Macaca fascicularis: one gene and its partners. The main gene of each other region encodes a partner of the protein of the gene in region 3 in a complex. Links are inferred from orthologs where the notes say so. Each region holds a gene or a part of one and is shown on either strand. Other genes may lie near its edges.

Region 1 (3,758 bases), on a different chromosome or scaffold from region 3:
CTGTCATTATTTAGAAAACCTTAGCCTGTTAGGGTATCTTGATCTCAATTTGTTCTTTGTTTTTTGCTTATTGCTCTGTTCATTTTTTTAACTGTTAATTTATAGTTTACGATTCAAGCGCTCTGAAGTTTCTGAAGAAGTTACAGAAAATGGCACTGAGGAAGCTGCTAAAAAACCTAAGAAGAAGAAAAAGAAGAAAGACCCAGAGACATATGAAGTGGACAGTGGTACTACAAAGCTAGCAGATGATGCAGATGACACTCCAATGGAAGAGTCAGCCCTGCAGAATACTAATAATGTGAATGGCCTCTGGGAGGAGGAGCCAAAGAAAAAGAAAAGGAAGAAAAAGCACCAGGAAGTTCAGGACCAGGACCCTGTTTTCCAAGGCAGTGACTCCAGTGGTTACCAAAGTGACCATAAAAAGAAAAAAAAGAAAAGAAAACACAGTGAAGAGGCTGAATTTACCCCACCTTTGAAATGCTCACCAAAAAGAAAAGGGAAAAGTAATTTTCTTTAGTGTCACTAATTTTAAATATGATTCAGTTTTTAAAAGATTGATCGACATACAATTGATGAATAAATGTTTTCAGTGATATGAAATGGTTAAGCATACCAGTACTTTCCAAAACAGAAAATACTGAACTAGGAGTAGGAGGCTCTATGTGCTAAAAATGATAAAACTGACCATAAGTTAAACTGGGGAGAATCAGTATTATTAAAGTACCATTTTATACAAAATAAAAAGATAGCTGCTCTCACTGTCGGCTCTCACTGTCGGCTCTCATATTCTTCCAGGTTTTGCACTCTACATAAAATTATTTCTACAATGTCAAGACTAGCCGAAGGACTTTATAATACAATATTATATGACTGAAGAATGAGTTAAGTTTGAGATTTTGATGATTCGATTTTGTGTGTGTTTAATAGGCTTCACCTTATTACATGCTATTTTATTTTGCTTTTTTAAAAACTCAGGACATTAACTAGTTTTAGGTTTTCCTTTATCATGGCTTCTACAGTATTTCTATTGTTTAACATAAAATGGTTTTCCAAAGAAGTTTCTGAAGTCTTCACAGCTCTTAAAAGCCAGGCCTGGACTGACTGTGTGGTGGTAAATGCTATTCATTACTTTTTTTCTTCCAGGTGCATGTGTGTCCTTGTCTTCTTAAGTCTGAGAGGTTGATGGAAAGGACTGTTTTCTTGTACTTGTTCATTTGTTCCTCAGCCATTCTAATTTTGTTGTATGTTGGAGGAGAGTCTAATGAAGACAGGAGAAATGTGATTCTGACTTGTGGGAAATTCCAGATTACTTTTTAATGATTGGAATGGGCTATAAGATATTGTGCTGAAGAGAAAACAGTTGTTCTGTTCACTGCTTTCATTGAGAAAATGTGGAATGTCTCTTGACTAATTGACAAAGTGTAATGAAATGACAAGCTGGTTGAAGCTGATAATCAATGCATGGCCAAATTTATTCATTTTCCACATACTTGACCATCTACTTTGTATAACACATTCTGCTAAGGCCCAGGGATGTAACGGCAAACAAGATAGATGTAGTTCCTTCCCTTGTGGCATGTCATAAGAGAAACCGATGTGCATATACACACAATAAATAAGAAAATTAATAATTGTGTTAAGTGGAATGAATAAAACCAGGGAGGATTGTTCACTCACTGTTACCTGTGTTAGTATCTGCAAATAGATGAATGGTTGAACTCCCATGTCAGCATTTTTGTTGCCATTTATTTAGTACCAGACATAGTGCTGATCTTACAGCTAAATATTTGGTAATGAACAAATTCTGCTAGTGATATATGTTGATCTGAACTTTTATTGATGGGATACAGAATTGGCAGAGTGGCAGATGTTGGCAATTGTCTACAAGTAGATGTGCTAGACAATGGAAGGGTGCAGGCCAGCCTCTTTGATTACAATTGAGATTCACGTGAGTATTGAGCCCTGGAAATATAGCTCAACCAAATTGAGATGTGCTGTCAGTATAAAGTACATACCAGATTTTGAAGATGTACCAAAAAATGTAAACTATCTCAGTTTTTGTACTAGTGAAATCAGTATGTTTTGGTATAGTGGGTTAAATAAAACAATTTTTGCCTTTCTCAGTTTATTTTTCTACAAAAAGATTAAAAATTGTACATGAAGCTCACATTAACTTTCTTTTGGTCAGTGCTATTTTAAAGGAAGTGTGAGTTGAAAAAACTTTGAAATAAACTGTATCATATTACCAGGACTTAATATAGTGGCATACCCAGGAAATGTTTAATAAATATTCCCTTCACATTTTAAAATTTGAGTATACAATCATGTTTGACAATAGAGAAATTTAATTTTTAGTGAAACAATTCTAAACCCCTTTTCCATAGACACAAAGAAAGATGTCAAATTTATGCTATTGCTGGAAAAATACATTGTGGCTTAGCAAAATAAGCAAGTTCCCACATTTACTTTTGTTTTGCTTCAAGTAATACTTCTGCCAGTTGTGTTTTATGAATTAAACAGGGAGCGGCATGCTGAACTTGAAACTAGATTTGTTCCTGCTTTTTTCATAATGTGAGTAGTTTTGAAAAGTCAGATCTGGCCATTTGTCTTTCCTAGAATATAATAACTTTGTTCATTGTTTTTTTGTTCATCTTTCTGACACAAAAAGACTGATGATGGTGTCTACCATATATTCTTCAAAACATTTGTCACATGCTGCACTAACCTCGTGTATCTTTTCTGTCTTGGAATTTGTTCATATAAACCCTCTAGCCTAGACTAGATCCCTTACCCTCTCTCCAGTTCCTATCATTCACCCATTTCACTGTGCAAGACACCTCACTAGTCACCAGTGATACAGAAATGACTTAACCAGTTTTTGCTCTTAAGGGCTTACCGTTTTGTCTATAAGATACACAACTAAGTATACATGATAAGTACAAATGAAAATGAATGTTTAATGCTTTATGCCTAGTGTTTAAGCTGGTTGTTGGATGAGCAGCATTTTGACCCTTGGAGAAGAAAAACTAACTGTGGCAATTCCAGGTGGAGAACCTGACAGAGGACTAAGAAGTTATCTAATGTAAAAGACCTCAGGCACTACCTTCTTCCATAAACTTTTTCCAGACAAGGCTAAATGTGCATGCTTCATAACCATAATTCTTATTTTTCTTTAATAAATATTTTTCTACTTGTAACACTCTGCATTATTTCAAACTGTTTACCTGTTTGAAAAGCTTGTCTCTTAATCAAATTTGTCTCGACCAAATGTTTCCTGAGGACTGGAATTATGCCTTAACTATATCTATAGTATATCTATAGTATTTAACAGTGAATCCTTTGTATAATGAAAGCATCAACAGATAGTTTTAAATTGATAAATAAAAAGCACAGTTTCAAATGGTATCACTTTGCCTCTGATGTGATATTATTAACCTCTTCACTTGTTTCAATAAATGTATCCTTTTTTTTTTTTTTTGCCTATATGTAATATGGTTTTTAAGGACTTTTATCACTTCAGTGTGTCAGGGATAGAATACTTACAAATGACATGACAGAAATTTGATCTCTTTAACTTGTTTTATACATTTACCACATGGGTCATCTTTGCCTTTTTTTTGCCAAAGAGTAGATATTTTATGTTACAAAATCAATACATATTTAAAAATTCAAATAGTAAAAGTATATACATCCTCCCACTCTACCAGTCATTGATCTCCCTCCCTGTTCCTCACCACACACACCCACTTCGCAATTCT
Region 2 (2,278 bases), on a different chromosome or scaffold from region 3:
GTCCCGAGTAGCTGGGACTACAGGCGCCCGCCACCACGCCCGGCTAATTTTTTTATATTTTTAGTAGAGATGGGGTTTCACTGTGTTAGCCAGGATGGTCTCGATTTCCTGACTTCGTGATCTGCCCGCCTCAGCCTCCCAAAGTGCTGGGATTACAGGCTTGATACACCGCGCCCAGCCGACCAGTAACCATTTTTAAATGGGATTTTTTATATTGTTAATTACTGTTAAGAATAACTTTGCTGCTATTGCTCCACAGGGCTGACCAATTTGAATATGTAATGTATGGAAAAGTGTACAGGATTGAGGGAGACGAAACTTCTACTGAAGCAGCAACACGCCTGTAAGTTACATAATCTTATGAGGTTCTTTTCCCTCTCTGTGTTCTGAGACTTTGAGCTATGCTCCTGCTTCCTCTGTTGGGTCCCTCTCCTCAGGCACCTCAGACCTAGGTAGGAACTAGAAAGAAATGGTTCTGAGAGCAGTTTCCAGTCTGAAAGGTAGACTGCTCTTTGTCAGGCCCTCCTGGCCCAGCAGTCCAGATGAGAAACTGGTTATCTTACTGTGTAAAGTGCAAAGGAGACTTGCTTCTCCAGAAACAAATGCAGCATTAAGTGATTATCCTATTAGGCTGTGTGTGTGTGTGTGTGTGTGTGTGTGTGTGTGTGTGTGTGTGTGTGTGTGTTTTGCTACTCTGTAACCCAATCCCTAGTTCCTTGGTTTTCCTGTCCAGCTATTTTTTCTTTTCTTTAAAATCTTATTAAAACAATATGTGCTTTTTGTAAGCAATTTGAAATGCAGAAGAGTAATGTGAAGAAGGAAAAAAAAAAGTCACCTGTAATTCCATACCCAGAGATAACCTTTTACATAGACTTTTTTGCATATCCTGGTGTTCTGTTTTTTCCTTTGAGACTGTGGTGTTTATTATGTTTTCTTCTGCTCTTTTTGCTTAACATTATGTAAAATATGTTTCCCCATGTTAGTGTGAAGCTTTTCTTAAATGTTTTAATAGTTGCATAACATTTCAGTAAGTGGATACATCTTGATTCATTTGACCATTCCCCTGATTTGGGGCATATAGGTGTTTTCCACCTTCGCTAATATAAAGAACAGTGCCTTGCACATATCTTGATCTTTGTCAGAATTTTGGTTCCTAGTGACAAAACAGTAGAAAGATGCCTCTTCTTTTTCTTAGGCTGAGATGGAGAGCTGCTGAGTAGCAGTGCTCCAGACTCATGGGATGGGGCCTTCTGTTTCAGCTCTGCCTATGTGTCCTATGGGGGCCTGCTCATGAGGCTGCAGGGGGATGCCAACAACCTGCATGGATTCGAGGTGGATTCCAGAGTTTATCTCCTGATGAAGAAGCTAGCCTTCTGAACCTCGCCAGAAGCCAGCCTTGCTGCCTAGTCACTCAGGTCATCGGCATTGTTCAAGCCTGAGTGGCAGCCAGTCTTGCTCACCTGTTGAGGAGGGGCTGGCTCACTGTCCACTGTGGTGGCATCTTTAACTGGCCTGCACTCAAAGGGAAACTGACTCGCCTGTGAAAGACAGTGGGAAAGCTGCAAATGAATCAGAAGCTTTGTGTATATGATTTTTAAATTAAACTTTACTTTTTCAGACTGCCCCTCCCCTTTTTGTAAAAAGTTCATTTACTGTAAAATCATTTTTTTGCAATTTGTCTGTGGTGTACTGTTTCTGGCCCACAGCCAGCTGATCACTTGTCAATGTAGGATCTATTCCAGCCTTTTGGTATCTGGGTTCAGGGTTATCTCAGTCTCCTGGCTGACTGTTCTCAACATTTATCCTCCAATGCGGTTTTCCGTTTGGGAGAGAGTGTTGTACTTTTGGCTCCTGAGGGTACCCCAGGCCCAGAAGATACCACCCATTTGGCGCGGAATTTTGAATTGGCAAGGAGCCCTGCTCGGGTCCTTCCAGCACTTTCAGGCTCTTAGGAAGTCAGTTCACGCTGACTTGATTGAGTCGCTTGCATAGTCTAGAAATGTTCATTATTTTTATGGAAGATGTGCACAGAGGCTTTTAGCCTTTTAGGCATGGGAGATGACTATGAAGAGAGTAGGAGGAGAGGACTTGGTGGTTCTGGAAGCAGCTGGAGGAGCTGGCTCTCTACATTCCAGTGGGAGGGAGGGTAAGTGGAAGTGGACAGGGCAGCAATACCAATGAAGCTGGCGGGCCAGAGCCAGGACAATGTGGCGGCCTGACTACAGTCACTAACTTATGAGTGGGGGAAGAAAAACATTAAGGAAATGGCTCTGATGAT
Region 3 (3,658 bases):
CTTCTATAGAGGAGCCAAGAAAGCAGCGCAACTCCTGCACAGAAGGGTAAAAACGAATTCTTACAGAAAGTCTCTGCTGAATCTCCAAAAGCAGCACAACTTAACAGGTTAAAAACCACGTAATCTTGGCCGGGCGCGGTAGCTCACAACTGTAATCCCAGCACTTTGGGAGGCCGAGGCAGGCACATCACGAGGTCAGGAGATCGAGACCATCGTGGCTAACATGGTGAAACCCCGTCTCTACTACAAATACAAAAAAATTAGCTGGGCGTGGTGGCGGGTGCCTGTAGTCCCAGCTACTTGGGAGGCTGAGGCAGGAGAATGGCGTGAACCCAGGGGGCGGAGCTTGCAGTGAGCAGAGATCGTGCCACTACACTCCAGCATGGGCAACAGAGCGAGACTCCATCTCAAAAAAAACACAAAAAACAAAAAAAAAATCAAGCAAGATGTTTATCACTATACACTACATACCCAAGTTGCAGAGTAAAGCCGGAATAGATGCCGTATACACAAACTGTGTGACAACCTCACATACGGCAGTTAGGTGGTTCATCAGGCCACAGGGCTCCCCGTCTGGGGTATGCACTGGACAAAGGAAGCCCCAGGACTCTGGCAGCAGCCGGCGTACTGTGGTGGTCCTCATCTTGGCAAAATCAGCCCCTCTGTGCACGCAGCGGAAATGGGAGAGGTAGCGTATGAAGTTCAGCTTGTCAGCCACAACACAAAGTCCAGAATTTTGTAGGAGGCCAAGACCTTAATAAAACAAAAGTCACTCAAAAATGGGCCAATCTTTTAAAAAACGGAAATTTTTGAGGCTTTGTGACGACAAAACCTCAGAGCACTCTACAGATTACAGAATGAATTATTACAACATTTATTCTCCTAGCTCTGATGAGTGGAAAGAGTTCGCAAAAAATATGTAAAATAATCCCCAGATTTCACAAACTGTATGAGCCCCAACTAGTTCCCTATCTCCTCTATGACCTCCTTTGTAGGAGAACATTAAATGAGTTAATAAAATAGCAAGTAGTTAAATTCATCTGAGAGGGTCAGATAATAGACAAGCAAGTAAGAAGGCTAATGAAAGAATCGGCATCAGTAACAGGGGTTTTAAAAAAAAAAAAAAAAAAAGGCTGGGCACAGTGGCTAATGCTATAATCCCAGCACTTCAAGAGGGCGAGGTGGGTAGTTCGCCAGAGCTTAAGAGTTCCAGACCAGCCTTAGCAGCACAGCAAAACCCCATCTCTACAAAAAACACAAAAATTAGCCAGGTGTGGTGGCTTGTGCCTGTAGTCACAGCTACTAGTGGGGCTGAGGTGGGAGGATCACCTGAGCCCGGGAGGTCAAGGCTGCAGTGAGCCATGATTCTGCCACTGCACTCTAGACTGGGTGACACAGTGAGGCCCTGACTCACAAAAAAAGAAAAAAAAAAAATTTCTGGGTTCCCAATTACCACTTTTTAAGTTTCCAGGGTCATTCTCTTTTTTGCTGAGACAGGGTCTCACTCTGTCACCAGGCTGGAGTGCAGTGGTGCAATCACAGCTCACTGCAGCCTTGACCTCCTAGTCAAGCCACCCTCCTACCTTGGCCTCCCAAAGTGCTGGGATTACAGGCATGAGCCACCACACCTGGCCTCTCAGGTCACTCTGAGGCAAGGCAACTGGTTTAGAGATGGGCATGTACAGCAACCCATGCAGAATTCCTATTAGGTAAGCCTTCCTCAGAGGTCTAAGTGGTCTTTTCATTTTCTAGAAGGAGGCAGAGAAAATGTATTTGGTTATTTGAATTAAATTTTAGCTATACAGACACCTTGTCTAAAGTCCTTCAGATCAATAGTCATCAAAGTCATAGTTACGAGAAATTTACTTTTTTGGGGGGGTTTGCTTTTAAAAAGAACCTGTCAAGGACAGGCAAATCTACATTAAGCAAATAGTTTGAAAAACATAACTAAAATGCTCTATTTAATTTTACCTGTTTTAGAACGCAGATTCCCAGTAGCAAAAAGGTATTCAAATGGTTTTGTAAGGTCTATTCCCATAGTAAAAATCCTCATCAAATTGTCAGTGTTCATGGAAACATTGGTCTTCTGAGCCTTCTTATCAAAAGCTATTTTAATAGACACTAACCAACCTTCCAGTTTTTCCTGAAATAAGAAAAACAAAAAATTAATATAAAATAGTATGTGAGCTAGGTGTGGTGGCTCACATCTATAATCCCAGGATTGGGTGGATCGCTTGAGACCAAGAGTTCAACATGAGACTGGGCAAAATGGTGAAACAAAACCCTGTCTCTACAAAAAATTTAAAAATTCGCCAGAAGGGGGTGGGGTGAGGGGTGGGGCATGCCTGTAGTTCCAGCTACTTGGGAGGATGAGGCAGAAGGATCGCTTGAGTCCAGGAGCCTAAGGCTTCAGGGAGCCACGATTGTGCCACTGCACTCCAGCCTGGGAAACAGGGCAAGACCCTATTCTCAATAAAATAAAATTATTACAAACGTCATATTTATTCCCATGTAATCTGTACAACCTTTAACAAAGGTCCACTAACATACACTGGATATGGAATACAGCAAAACCAAAAACCTGAAGGAGAGCTTTTCAGGTGCAGAAAGGATAGCTCTTCAATGTCATGCCCTCCTTCACCCGTTATATTTGTTACACACCTAAAAGCAATCACACGAACTACACAGCCCATACCTGAAAGCAATCACACGAACTACACAGTCCACACCTAAAAGCAATCACACGAACTACACAGCCCATCTTAGTCTATGCTGCCAACACTCACTGAAATGGTTAAGGCAGCCTGCAATTGCAAAATTACAGCTAGACTGGAGGACTGAGTTCTGGTATTCTGCAGCACTGCAGGTTGAATAAGTTAACTATATTTGTTGTATATTTTCTCACTGCAGCCTCAACCTCCTAGGTTCAAGGGATCCTCCCGCCTCAACCTCCTGAGTAGGTGGGACCATAGGTATGTGCCACCATGCTCGGCTAATTTTTAAATTTTTTTTGTAGAGATGGGGGTCTCACTTTGTTGCCTAGGCTGGTCTCAAACTCCTGGGCTCAAGCAATCCTCTTGCCTCGGCTTCCAAAGTGTTGGGATTACAGGCGTGAGCCACCATGCCCAGCCTTATTGTTTATTTTCAAAAAGCTAGAAGAGGGGATTTTGAACGTCCACAACACAAAAAAAGATACATGTTTGAGGTGATGAATGTGTTAACTACTCTGATTTGATCATTATACATTATTTACATACATGGAAATATCACTGCATACCCCATAAATATGTAGTTATTGCATGTCAACTAAAAATAAAAGAAAAAAAGACTATACACCATCAGTGCTTCCTATGGGTGGTTCAGAAACCACTGAAAACACCTAAGAGAATGTTTGAAATACGTTCTCTCCTGTATTTGATATTTGGAAGAAAACCTGGAAGATGTACACAGGTCACTTAATCACGGTATACCTTTTCCAGCAGGCCCCCGAGTCAACACATTAGCCATTGACTCTTGATAACCCAGCTCTTTAAAGTACCAGTGTTTGAACACTCACGCTTGGAAGACCTAACTATTCTTCCAGAAGACAGCACTGGAAGTGCCACATGTCATTTCTGCATATTCTCTGGCACTGACACTGCATTTAATATCACTGTGG

The links. The genes of interacting proteins can lie anywhere in the genome.
Region 1: POLR1B (region 3) and POLR1F share a complex: the UniProt entries of both Homo sapiens proteins name them as parts of the RNA polymerase I (Pol I) complex. The link is inferred for Macaca fascicularis from reciprocal best matches to the Homo sapiens genes POLR1B and POLR1F.
Region 2: POLR1B (region 3) and POLR2H share a complex: the UniProt entries of both Homo sapiens proteins name them as parts of the pol I pre-initiation complex. The link is inferred for Macaca fascicularis from reciprocal best matches to the Homo sapiens genes POLR1B and POLR2H.

What each region holds. Positions count from the first base shown.
Region 1 is NC_088377.1:110,498,657-110,502,414, forward strand, and holds the end of POLR1F (DNA-directed RNA polymerase I subunit RPA43), read left to right. Parts: intron 1-105; coding exon 106-517; 3' UTR 518-3,405; downstream 3,406-3,758. UniProt on the Homo sapiens protein: Component of RNA polymerase I (Pol I), a DNA-dependent RNA polymerase which synthesizes ribosomal RNA precursors using the four ribonucleoside triphosphates as substrates.
Region 2 is NC_088376.1:96,289,868-96,292,145, forward strand, and holds the end of POLR2H (DNA-directed RNA polymerases I, II, and III subunit RPABC3), read left to right. Parts: intron 1-259; coding exon 260-343; intron 344-1,259; coding exon 1,260-1,377; 3' UTR 1,378-1,674; downstream 1,675-2,278. UniProt on the Homo sapiens protein: DNA-dependent RNA polymerase catalyzes the transcription of DNA into RNA using the four ribonucleoside triphosphates as substrates.
Region 3 is NC_088387.1:19,552,889-19,556,546, reverse strand, and holds part of POLR1B (DNA-directed RNA polymerase I subunit RPA2), read right to left. Parts: intron 2,144-3,658; coding exon 1,972-2,143; intron 754-1,971; coding exon 472-753; intron 1-471. UniProt on the Homo sapiens protein: Catalytic core component of RNA polymerase I (Pol I), a DNA-dependent RNA polymerase which synthesizes ribosomal RNA precursors using the four ribonucleoside triphosphates as substrates.